3 linked regions of the Drosophila melanogaster genome follow. The protein of the gene in region 3 interacts with the protein of the main gene of each other region in a pairwise test. Each region holds a gene or a part of one and is shown on either strand. Other genes may lie near its edges.

Region 1 (3,616 bases), on a different chromosome or scaffold from region 3:
GAGATAAAAGTTTATACTGGGTAATCAGTGGGTCATTTGTGCATGCCACTTGGTCCACTCACTTGACAGCGTTTCCGGCTGCACGTAAACTCTGCCGACGACGCTGTGCAAGTTCATGATTTCCTTCAGGCAGTCCCCGTCCATGTCCTTGGGTATGTTGGATATTAAGATGACGCCTACCTTGTGCATCTTCTCGCGTTTCTTCTCGGGGGCCCAGGAATTGAAGGTGGCTTTGAAATTGGCCAGCTCCTTTTTATCGTCATTTGAGGGATTTGCTATCCCATTTGCAGACTCACCTTCCTTTGTCTGCGGCTTACCCCAGCGCGCCTCGTCTAGCTTAGTCTCCTCCACTTTCATGGAAGTGGACTTGCGCTTTGGCTTTGATGTATTAATTATTTTTTTCATTGTAGCTTTCGTTTTAGCTGGATCGAATATATTTTGTAATGTACGCAATCAGGTATGACAGTTGACAGGCGATGTCAGTTGACGTTTTTATCGAAGAGCTATCGATGTGTTGGTACCCTTTCATTAGAAAAGCATATCGCTTTAAAAACACTTTGTAACAGAACATTTGATTTACTCAGCCCTATTTTAATCGAGAAATCTTAACCATCCCTGTGCGTTACAGTGGCCTCCTTCAGCTTGAGTAGCTGAAGTAGCATTAACACGCACACACAATCGGCGAAATTATCGATATGCAGGGGCCCTAATTTCAAATAATTTTGCGCGCCTAATTATTTAAAGATTTTGATTTGATTTACTTAATTGAAGTATATTTGCAGTCAGGTAGACATTGGAAGCAAAGGTCTAGCGTGAACTCAGGCAGACTTCTTCAATTTCTTGGCAGCCATCTCCGCTTTCTTGGCAGCCATCTCCGCATTCCTGGTAGCCATCTCCGCTTTCTTGACCTTCTTCATCTTCTTCACTTGCTTCTTGAAATACTCCATCTGGTCGGGATCGTACAAGAAGGTGGCCCGCTTGCGGGCCTGCGACCATACGCGAACTTTGCAAACCGCCAGCTCGTAGTCCATGCGATCGGTTAGATAGTACCACTTGAAGCGTGGCAGGAACTTCATTTTCCACAGCAAGCCACGGAATCGGGACGACTTGCCATCGGTTATAGGCTTATTGTTCAGCTCTAGAGCGATTTTTTTGGCCCCACTTTTCGAAATGAACTCCACCCAGCCCTTACGCATGTTCTTCTTTGTCTTGAAACCTAAAGTAATTGAGATAAAAGTTTATACTGGGTAATCAGTGGGTCATTTGTGCATGCCACTTGGTCCACTCACTTGACAGCGTTTCCGGCTGCACGTAAACTCTGCCGACGACGCTGTGCAAGTTCATGATTTCCTTCAGGCAGTCCCCGTCCATGTCCTTGGGTATGTTGGATATTAAGATGACGCCTACCTTGTGCATCTTCTCGCGTTTCTTCTCGGGGGCCCAGGAATTGAAGGTGGCTTTGAAATTGGCCAGCTCCTTTTTATCGTCATTTGAGGGATTTGCTACCCCATTTGCAGACTCACCTTCCTTTGTCTGCGGCTTACCCGAGCGCACTTCGCCTAGCTTAGTCTCCTCCACTTTCATGGAAGTGGACTTGCGCTTTGGCTTTGATGTATTAATTATTTTTTTCATTGTAGCTTTCGTTTTAGCTGGATCGAATATATTTTGTAATGTACGCAATCAGGTATGACAGTTGACAGGCGATGTCAGTTGACGTTTTTATCGAAGAGCTATCGATGTGTTGGTACCCTTTCATTAGAAAAGCATATCGCTTTAAAAACACTTTGTAACAGAACATTTGATTTACTCAGCCCTATTTTAATCGAGAAATCTTAACCATCCCTGTGCGTTACAGTGGCCTCCTTCAGCTTGAGTAGCTGAAGTAGCATTAACACGCACACACAATCGACGAAATTATCGATATGCAGGGGCCCTAATTTCAAATAATTTTGCGCGCCTAATTATTTAAAGATTTTTATTTGATCTACTTAATATAAGTATATTTGCAGTCAGGTAAACATTGAATGCAACAGTCTAGCGCGAACTCAGGCATCGCTGTCGCTCTTGGCAGCCAGAGCCTTTTCCGCATTCTTGGCCTTCTTCGCCTGCTTCCTGATGAACTCGCTCTTGTCGAGATTGTTCTGGAAGAAGGTGGTCTCCTTGCGGGCCTGCGAGACCTCAGTGTGTAGGCGTTGCTTGTGAACCGCCTGCTCGTAGTTCATGCGCTCGGTTAGATGGACCCACTTAAAGCGCGGCAGGTACTTCATGCTCCATAGCGAGTCATAGAATTGGGACGTCTTGCGACCGGATATCTGCTTGTTGTTCAGCAGTGGAACGATCTGTTTGGCCACACGTTTCGACTTAAATTCCACCCAGCCCTCGGTGAAGTGGATATTATAACGCTTACGCTTGTTCTTCTTCGCTTTGGCACCTAAAGTAATTGAGATTAAAGTATATACACTAGTGGGTAATCAGTGGGTCTTATATGTATGCCACTTGGTCCACTCACTTGACAGCTTCTCTGGCTGTAGGTAAACTCTGCCGATGGCGCCGTACTCGCCCAAGATTTCCCGCAGGCGGGTCACGTTCATATGCTTGGGTATGTTGGATATGTAGATGATCCCCATCTTGCGTTTCTTCGCGGGGGCCGAGGAACTGGAGGTGGCTTTAAAGTTGGCCAGATCCATATCATCGTCGTCATCCGAGGGATTTGCCTCCCCATTCGCAGTTTCACCTTCCCCTGGCTGCGGCTCATCCGAGCGCACCTCGTCTAGCTCAGCCTCCTCTACTTCCATGGGAGTGGGCTTGCGCTTTGGCTTTGATTTATTTTTTATATTCTTCATTGTTGATTTCGTTCTCTGTGTAGTGCACGCTATTAGGGATGACAGTTGTCAGGCGATGTCAGTGTACGTTTTTATCGAAGAGCTATCGATGAGTTGGTTGGTTCAAAAGCACTTTGTAACAGATTATTTATTCAGCCCTATTTTAACGGACAAATCGTAACAAGAATTTTAACCATTCTTTTCTACCACCAATGCCTTTACGAATTGTAAAATATAAAATTATTGGAAACATTTTAAGTTATCACACAACAATCAATATAATTTAAATTCAATAGATTCAAGACTACGCCTCCTGTTTCTCCGCATCGGGAACGCCAGCCAGCACAGACTCTTTGCTGATGTCCAGAAACGAGGCCTGGGACATTTCCGTGTCATCCTCCTCCTCCTCGATTTCCATCTCAAAAATGGTCATCTTGCGCTTGCGATCGGAGAGAACGGTGGCCACCTTCCTGCTGCCCGAGACGGCCAACATGTCGCTAAATCCGTCCAGTCCCTTGAAGGCGGCACCATCGGCAATGTCATGGATGCTTTGCGACACGGTGGCTTCGCTCAGCTTGACCAACGGTCCCATTCGGTGCTGTGTGCTGTAATTCAGCGCCGCGGTCAGTGAGAATTGTATAAAGAAGCTATGCGGTCGCATGCCAGGTCCCGCATTTATGGACTGGGCCAGTATCGATAGCGAAGATTCATTGTAGAACTGCAGGTCGACGAAGCGTAGGTAACAGAAATCTTCGGACACGGATGTTGTAAATAATCCTGGCTCCAGTGTAATT
Region 2 (4,070 bases), on a different chromosome or scaffold from region 3:
GACACTTGAAGTCGAATTTGGAAATAAATTTAATAGCAACATTGATAAACGATACATTGAATATAGCTCGCGATATTTTCCATTTGCAAAGTATTGATTTTCGCGGACAATTTAATGGATTAACTCTAAGAGGAGCAAGTGTTGTAAGTAATGAATAAGTACTATAACTCATTAGATTTTAGCCATTTCAATTATGGATACTAGATCGACAAGGAGGATATAATCTCAAATGAACAAATTGAATCAATACTTTCGCGACCAACTAAGGATGCTGGAGTGGCTGCATTCATAAAGTATCACTACGAGCTTCTGGGACTTCTGAGAGAACGTTTCAATTTCACTGTTAACTTCCGAAATTCTAGAGGATGGGCTGGACGTTTGGGCAATACTACCTTTCGACTTGGACTCTTGGGAATAGTTATGCGAAATGAGGCAGATATAGCCGCATCCGGTGCCTTCAATCGAATTAATCGCTTTGCTGAGTTTGATACCATACACCAAAGTTGGAAATTTGAGACAGCTTTTCTATACCGCTACACTTCCGATTTGGATACTCATGGAAAAAGTGGTAACTTTCTGTCGCCATTCAGCGACAGAGTTTGGTTGTTCTGTCTATTAACCCTTGGTGCTTTTAGCATCATTTGGGTGCTATTTGAAATTATCGACTACAAGATATTGCGTATACGAGTTAATAGTCAAAAGCTGGAACATTTAAATCAGAAAAGTTCGGTGATTTGCATTAAGACCACATGCATTGAACGAATTTTACAGACATTTGGAGCCTGCTGCCAACAGGGATTGGACCCAAATCCTGTAGATCGTTCAGTGCGCTTTTTGGTAATGACACTGTTCCTATTCTCCCTGGTTATGTACAACTATTATACGTCTTCCGTCGTGGGCGGATTGCTTAGTTCTTCAGATCAGGGTCCCTCTACAGTCGACGAAATAACTGCAAGCCCCTTGAAAATATCATTCGAAGACATTGGTTACTACAAAGTCTTATTCCGAGTAAGTTCGTTGAAAACATTATATGTATATTTATATTACCATTACTCGATTTACTTAACAGGAGAGTCAAAATCGATCTATTACAAGATTAATAGAGAAAAAGCTGTCTTCGTCAAGAAGTTTAAATGAATTGCCAATTTTTAGCCATATTGAGGATGCTGTCCCATATCTCAAAGCCGGCGGATTTGCTTTTCATTGCGAAGTGGTGGACGCTTATCCGGTGATTTCAGAATATTTTGATGCCAACGAGATCTGTGATCTGCGTGAAGTCTCCGGTCTGATGGAGGTCGAAATTTTGAATTGGATTTTACACAAGAACAGCCAGTATACCGAGATTTTCAAAACAGCGTAAGTATTGAGTCATTCGCATGGTTTTGGTTTGATTCTGTCTTTGCTTAACTGGCCAAAAAGAACTGTTTTTTTTTAACCCGGTCTTATTCCACATCAGTATATTTCCCAAACATTCCTTGGGAAGTAAGATAGTTTTATAATTATTTTATAATAGTTATATAATTGTAATAAACTCTATATTTTCTTTTGTAGTATGTGTAATGCCCAGGAAAAAGGTTTTGTAGAGCGCATTCTTCGACGGCGGCAAATTAAAAAGCCAGCCTGTCAATCATTATACACCGTTTACCCTGTAAGCTTGTCAGGAGTGCTACCTGGATTTGTTATTTTAATTTGTAAGAGTATTAACAAATTTTCCTAGAACTTAAATTTGTATACATGTTTTTATTTAATAGGCGGATTTGGAGCATCGCTTCTACTTTTGTGCTTGGAAAAAGTATATGCACATTTTGGACCACGAAAATTTTGCGGTTTTTAAATTTTTATTTTGTGTTTCCTTTATGATGATTTTTTTGATTTGTTTTATTTTATAATTTTTGTAATAAGGAAAAGTGTATTGGATATGGCTTCTGGTTCATCCCAGTTTATGTTCCATTCCACGCGTTCCAAAAATAAACGCGTAGTTCAAAATATAAACAAAAGTAAACTCCGAATGCAGCCCTGTGCTCAATTTTTCAACTTCCTGTCACGCTGTGTGTGTGTTCTTTCTTTCCTTTGATTCTGTTGCCGAAGCAAGGTAAGTTTTTGGGGTTGTTACATTTTAAGCATCGGTTAAGTGAAAATAAACATACAAATACATACTTAAAGTAGTCCTTAACACTTGTAAACTCTTACGAGTGAAATACATGACAATTGTTGATTGAACAATGAGAATGATTGCAGTGCACATGTAAAATTGACAAGCAATCAAAATTGCTAAAAGATACCCGTGAACAAAAAAAATATTGTGACATTTAAATTTATACATTAAGGTAAGTGAATTTCCGCGTGATTAGTTATCTGTGGATGGCCACAGAGGCTTCCCCAGGAAACAAATTTCGCACACCCCCAACCGTCCACATGTTAATAACCACATGAATGTATTTCAGATCTGGTCTACAGAATTAACAATTAACAATGCCGCAGAATGAGTATATGGAACGCCATCGCAAGCTGTATGGCCGGCGATTGGATTACGAGGAACGGAAACGCAAGAAGGAAGCGCGTCTTCCCAAGGACCGAGCACGAAAGGCTCGCAAGTTGCGCGGCATCAAGGCCAAACTCTTTAATAAGGAGCGACGCAATGAAAAGATTCAGATTAAGAAGAAGATCCAGGCCCACGAAGAGAAGAAGGTCAAAAAGCAGGAGGAGAAGGTCGAGGATGGAGCCCTGCCGCATTATCTGCTCGACAGAGGCATCCAGTCCAGCGCCAAGGTCCTGTCCAATATGATCAAGCAGAAGCGCAAGGAGAAGGCAGGCAAGTGGGACGTGCCCATTCCCAAAGTACGCGCTCAGTCAGATGCTGAGGTCTTCAAAGTACTAAAGACCGGAAAGACAAAGCGAAAGGCATGGAAGCGCATGGTCACAAAAGTCACATTCGTCGGTGAGAACTTCACACGCAAGCCACCAAAGTTCGAGCGTTTCATTCGACCCATGGGTCTGCGCATGAAGAAGGCTCACGTTACGCATCCAGAACTGAAAGCCACCTTCAATCTGCCCATCATTGGCGTCAAGAAGAACCCCAGCTCGCCCATGTTCACTTCCTTGGGTGTAATTACAAAGGGTACTGTGATCGAAGTCAACATCTCTGAGCTGGGTTTGGTAACGCAAACGGGAAAAGTTGTCTGGGGCAAATACGCTCAGGTCACGAACAATCCAGAAAACGATGGTGTTATCAATGCAGTGCTGCTTGTCTAACCCCGAAAATGTCGCTACCTAATTTAAGAGTTTGATTTAATAAACAAACATATACAATAACATGAACAATCGTTTGATTCTCTTAGCTTATTATACTATTAGCTGTAGCAATGCCATATATATAAACACACATATCTATACCAACATCTTTTTGTTTCTTGCAGTTTGGTGACTGGAATACAAGATGCAGATCTTCGTTAAGACCCTCACGGGCAAGACCATCACTCTTGAGGTCGAACCGTCGGATACTATCGAAAATGTCAAAGCCAAGATTCAGGACAAAGAAGGAATTCCTCCAGATCAGCAGCGTCTGATCTTCGCTGGCAAGCAGCTGGAAGATGGCCGCACCCTCTCTGACTATAACATTCAGAAGGAGTCCACTTTGCACTTGGTGCTCCGCCTGCGTGGTGGTGCCAAGAAGCGCAAGAAGAAGAACTACTCCACTCCCAAGAAAATCAAGCACAAGAGGAAGAAGGTCAAGCTAGCTGTCCTGAAATACTACAAGGTACACACAACAATCTACCGACACCATACCGAAAACATTCTGATCTGTTCTTGGAATTCTTGAGTCTTGGTCTTGTGCTCATTGGCTTAAGATTTGGATATCAGAGTGACTTTACCAGTGCCCTATATTGAATGAACATGTGTACGATCTCAGTATTTAATCACTTTCTATGCTCTTTCCTTTCCATAGGTTGACGAGAACGGCAAGATCCACCGTCTCCGTCGCGAGTGCCCTGGTGAGAACTGCGGCGCCGGCGTCTTCATGGCTGCCCACGAAGATCGTCACTACTGCGGCAAGTGCAACCTGACCTTTG
Region 3 (4,643 bases):
AGCCACGAATCCATCCATCCATCCATACATCCACCAGCCCTAACCCACTTTCCCTCACGTGCTCCACCTTTACGACCTGCTCAAACATCAAGCTTATTTATTTACTCTAAAAACAATACCGGAAAATTAATAGCAATTTGTTGGGGTTCATAAATTTGTCGAAATAAATGTCCTTAACTGGCGAATGTACTTCCCCTCACTACCGCACCAACCCAAATGGGTGGAAGAGGGGTTCTTTCGGTGGTGGTGCTGCCAAATGGGTTTCACCTGCTGCAAATCGATTGTCTGACTCCTTCTCCGTTGGCCTTCTCTTATCAGCCGGGCTCGGGTGCGTGACTCCCCGTCCGGAGTTGGGTTTTAATTTTGATGACTTCAATTAACTGCGTGTAAATGCGGTGAATCCGCCTTTTCAGCGATCCAAAGTCTACACAGAAAGAAGGGATTATGTAAAAAACAATTGTTTGTTTTATATTTTTTTCGAGTTTTATTATTGTTAAAGTGAAATAGAGTTCATGTAACATGTATAATTGACACTGCACATTATGTGATCTAATCACCATAAACAAATAATTTTCTGTTATTAAAGTCACAGCTGATGACAAAATGAATCAGCTAGTAGATGTTTCATAACAAAAACTAATATTTTGTGGTATCCAAAGGATATTGTGGCTTTTCAGAATGCTCAGAAGGGTTTGTTGAGATATTAATGAAACTTTATTGAAGTTTATTGCTGCTTGTCAGCGCATGTAAACTGGTATACAAAGTAAAGAAAAGCCGGAACCCCTGAGTTGCAGCTTGTGATGGGGTGCCTTTTCCATGGATTGGGGGTCTAGAAGCGAGCCAAGTTGGGTCAAATGCAAAGTGAAGGCACATAATTCAGTTGCTCAACGACAACCGTCGCGTTCAGACGTCAATTTTAGACTACGGAGTGAAGAAGTCACAGGCTTGAAGGGTGAAAAATGTGAAACTACTACGATACACCATCTCAATAAGCCACTATAACTACTTAACAATACCGAATTTAAAATGCCGCGCAAGAAACCGAAGGTCGATACTCTCGAGGAGATCGAGACCAATATTAAACTGCTATGCGATCAATCCAATAACCACATGAAGGTTCGGGCCTACGAGAAGGCTTTGTTTGGATACAACCAGGTGTGTTGGGAAACTTACTAGCCACAGTTAAGACTAGGCAGAATTATTTCCATCAAATAATAAAGTGCAATTGGGAATACCATCTCCGAATTGCACTATAAATAATGTTTGATAAACTTTACACAAAGTGAATCATTTAAATTAGACACAGTTGAGGATATTTGAAACGGGTTTTATCGCATTTAAAAAATATGTAATTAAGATAAAAGTAATCTATGTACTTTTATTTAATTTCATAATTTTCGAAAAGTACATAAAAACGAAGGCGGTGATATTTTATGTGTTTCATTTTCACTTTTAAGCATTTAATGCTTTGTTCGTGAAGAAGGATAATCACTTAGCGGGAAAGGACATCCGCTAAAAGCTCCTGAAAGCTTCGCACAGGTTTTAGTTCACAACAAAGGAGCACAGTTTGACATTCTTAACGTAGTTGAACAAGCACCTGTAGAGTAACACCATATAGAAACACTATAGAAAGGCTTTTTTTATAGCCAAGATTGTTCAAGTGTTTAATGATAAGTTTTAGTTTACATTAAGGTTTTTTTGTTACATTTTTTTATATTACTCATACGACACGTATGCCAATTTATTCCTCTATGCTAGCAAACAAAAAACGTATTGAGAAAAGATACCGTTGATAGTTTTAGTGTTATAAAGGAGCTACTTTAATATGCGTAATTTTAAGGAAATTAAAGTCCCCCTCAAAACATATCAAGAAAGTTACTCATACGCCCCGTAAGCCAGTCATGGTTAACAAAATCCCAACTCGATTCCTTAAGCATTAACCAAAAAATTAGTTTAAAATATGATAATCTCGAGGACCACTGAGAAAAGAGGATAGATCGGAGTGGATATGCATTCTCACCTTCTAATAGGGCGTCCCCAAGGTCGTGACCCACATGGAGGCCATTGTTCTTGGCATTCACACCGCCAAACGACACGACACCTGGTGCCTGACACCTGATATGTAGCACCTGGCACAGCACGAGTGGTTGTTTTGTTATCGATTGCTAACCCATTTGGTGGCGCCAGTTTCCTGGCAACAACCCATTATAGCGCCAATCAATTGGCTAGTGATTTGGTCAGAAGTTGAGTTTTTTGGATTACTCCAATCGTCGGACGTTGAAGATTCTTCCCAGCGATTGCCAAGGGTATTATAAGGATATGTCGAACGTGCTGAACACCATTCTTGCTGTGGACAAGGAGCAGGAACTGCTGCAAAGCTTCATACGCACCGGAGCAGCGGCTGAGGAGGAGTCACAGGATGAGACCAATCGGCGGTCCAAGGGTCGCTCCCACAAGCCTCCCATCTGGGAGAGGCGCGAGTCCACTGATCGGGGCGGACGCGGTGCTGGACGGGATGGAAAGCAGGGGGATGACGGAGGAGCTGGGGGAGGAGCAGGAGGCGACGCTGCGGGCGGCAAGCGGGGCAATCGCATTGAGGCCGAACTTAGGGCGGCACGCAAAAAGATCGAGGAGCAGATCGCCAAGAAGAAGAAGCCCAAGGAGAACTTCGTCGACTTCTACACGGACAAAGATCGGGCGGCAGCGGTCAGCGCTGGTGCATTTGACATCAAGCAGAGTCTCCAGATCAAGCAGAAGCAGGACCGCAACGAGGCACTGCTCATCCCGGACGAGGCGGACATCAGTTCGGTGATCGCACTGGGGCTCAAGGAGATCAAGAATGCCAATCCCGAGAACGCCATACACTTTTTTTGCAAGGTGCTCCTGGTTTCATTATTGGAACTGTTCAGATTTCAGAGTCATCTAGTTAAGCAGGTTTTCTCTTTTTAATAGAATCTATACCGCTGTTAAGTCCCGTTTAGTTTTCTAAGATCTGCCATAACATATTAAAAACTAGCTAACAAAACCTTAAAATTTCAGGCTCTTGAGCTGAATAGCACCGACATCAATGCTTTGATTTCGCGTAGCAAGTGCTACTTGTTGCTGGGCGAGGCTTCCAAGGCACTGCAGGATGCGGAGACGGCTCTTGGAGAGGACAAGAACAACATTCGGGCCATCTACCAGAAGGCTGAGTCGCTGTACTACCTCGGTCAGTTCGAGCAGAGCCTGATGTTCTTCCATCGCGGTCTGAGGGCTCGTCCGGAACTGGCTTTGTTTCGCCTGGGCGTTCAGAAAACGCAGGAGGCCATCGAGAACACCATCGGCAGCAAGCCGGGTCCACCAGGACCAACAGCATCTGTTCCCAAGAGCGGAAAGTCACGGAAGTCCGGCGAGGATACACCTAAATCCCAGGCAGCGGGAGCAACGGGGACCAGTGCCAGGACGCGGCAGAAACCCAGTCGAGCGGATCTGGAACGACGCAACGCCCGCAAGCTGCTGGGCGAACTGTGCGTGGACAAGGAGTACTTGGAGAAGTTGCTGCTCCATCCGGATTTGGTCCGCGCGGACACACACACGGAGAGCATCTCCGCGTACGCCCGCGAGGCGGTGGAGTTTCTCAACAAACGGCAGGAGTTCTGGCGCCAACAGCGTCCCTGCACGGCGCTGCCCAACCATAAGAACCTGCCCCATGACGCTCTGCCCAAATGGTTCTAGTCCATCCAGCTGCCCAATACTACTGACTTGTTCAGCTCCCGGTGTTAAGTTTCTGTTTGAATTGAGTTGGCTTGATAAGCTGGTATTGAATAAATAAATCAATTAATTACGAAAACTCTCAGGTAATTTTACTTGACTCTTGTATTGAGTTTTATTAACTTCCAATGCATTTTGCGAATATTCACTTGGAGCAGCGACTACGACGGTCCAACTTTTTTATTTTGTAGTATGCTACTTGGTTAATCTTAGGCGTAACTTCAACTTTTGAACAGAGCAATTGGAATTTCTCAATTACATTGATATATATTTGTAGTCAACTGAAACAGAAATCCGGATGTAGCCTCAAATTGACGGAATACAACGATAGTTTAACAATGTGGAATAATATGTAATTTATCTCAATAGTTGTTCAATAACAATGGATACATGTGTTTGGGTGTGTCGCTCGAATCGGAATCTTTTACAGAGTTCTATTGCTTCTTCAGTTTTTATAACTTTACTTCATAATTTGACTAGTACGGCTATAATTTATTTAAACATTACATTTATGCAGATTAGTGTAATACTTTGTCGCCCATATACTTCATTATATTCATTCTTCGCCCTCGGCAAATCCGGTGCAATTGGGTTGAGTACGTCTGGCCAGTAAGTAAAAAAAAAAAAAAGAGAGTACCGGAGTGGGGTAGTTTGGGCTTTAGCTATGTGGAACTTATTTGTTTACTTTAAATTCAGTTTGATTCCGGCTAGAAACTATCGAAACAAACAAACAGGTAGTAACATAGATTCCATGCGAAGTGCGGATATTGCCAGGAGTTCTCCTCCAGAGTGGCCCAATATATTCGAGTATATATAACATTAAATACAGCGATTCGGAATGCAATCGGAGTGCAAGACAGCGAGCTGTAAATATAGCCATTATATGATTAGTT

What was found.
Region 1: the proteins of CG13502 (region 3) and CG32706 interact in a two-hybrid assay, tested with the Drosophila melanogaster proteins (one large-scale study listed by BioGRID).
Region 2: the proteins of CG13502 (region 3) and Ip259 interact in a two-hybrid assay, tested with the Drosophila melanogaster proteins (one large-scale study listed by BioGRID).

The regions. Positions count from the first base shown.
Region 1 is NC_004354.4:9,085,212-9,088,827, reverse strand, and holds CG32706 (uncharacterized protein), read right to left. Parts: upstream 1,700-3,616; 5' UTR 1,585-1,699; coding exon 1,290-1,584; intron 1,217-1,289; coding exon 819-1,216; 3' UTR 755-818; downstream 1-754. Other genes in the region: CG6999 (uncharacterized protein), read right to left, coding at 63-357; CG32708 (uncharacterized protein), read right to left, coding at 2,046-2,431, 2,510-2,843; APC4 (anaphase promoting complex subunit 4), read right to left, coding at 3,127-3,616.
Region 2 is NT_033779.5:10,406,295-10,410,364, forward strand, and holds Ip259 (intronic protein 259), read left to right. Parts: upstream 1-2,057; 5' UTR 2,058-2,092; exon of another isoform or gene 2,093-2,327; intron 2,328-2,444; 5' UTR 2,445-2,472; coding exon 2,473-3,252; 3' UTR 3,253-3,316; downstream 3,317-4,070. Other genes in the region: Ir31a (ionotropic receptor 31a), read left to right, coding at 1-143, 205-1,008, 1,070-1,356, 1,552-1,691, 1,752-1,834; RpS27A (ribosomal protein S27A), read left to right, coding at 3,437-3,757, 3,947-4,070.
Region 3 is NT_033778.4:22,084,963-22,089,605, reverse strand, and holds CG13502 (uncharacterized protein), read left to right. Parts: upstream 1-2,184; 5' UTR 2,185-2,319; coding exon 2,320-2,877; intron 2,878-3,039; coding exon 3,040-3,714; 3' UTR 3,715-3,824; downstream 3,825-4,643.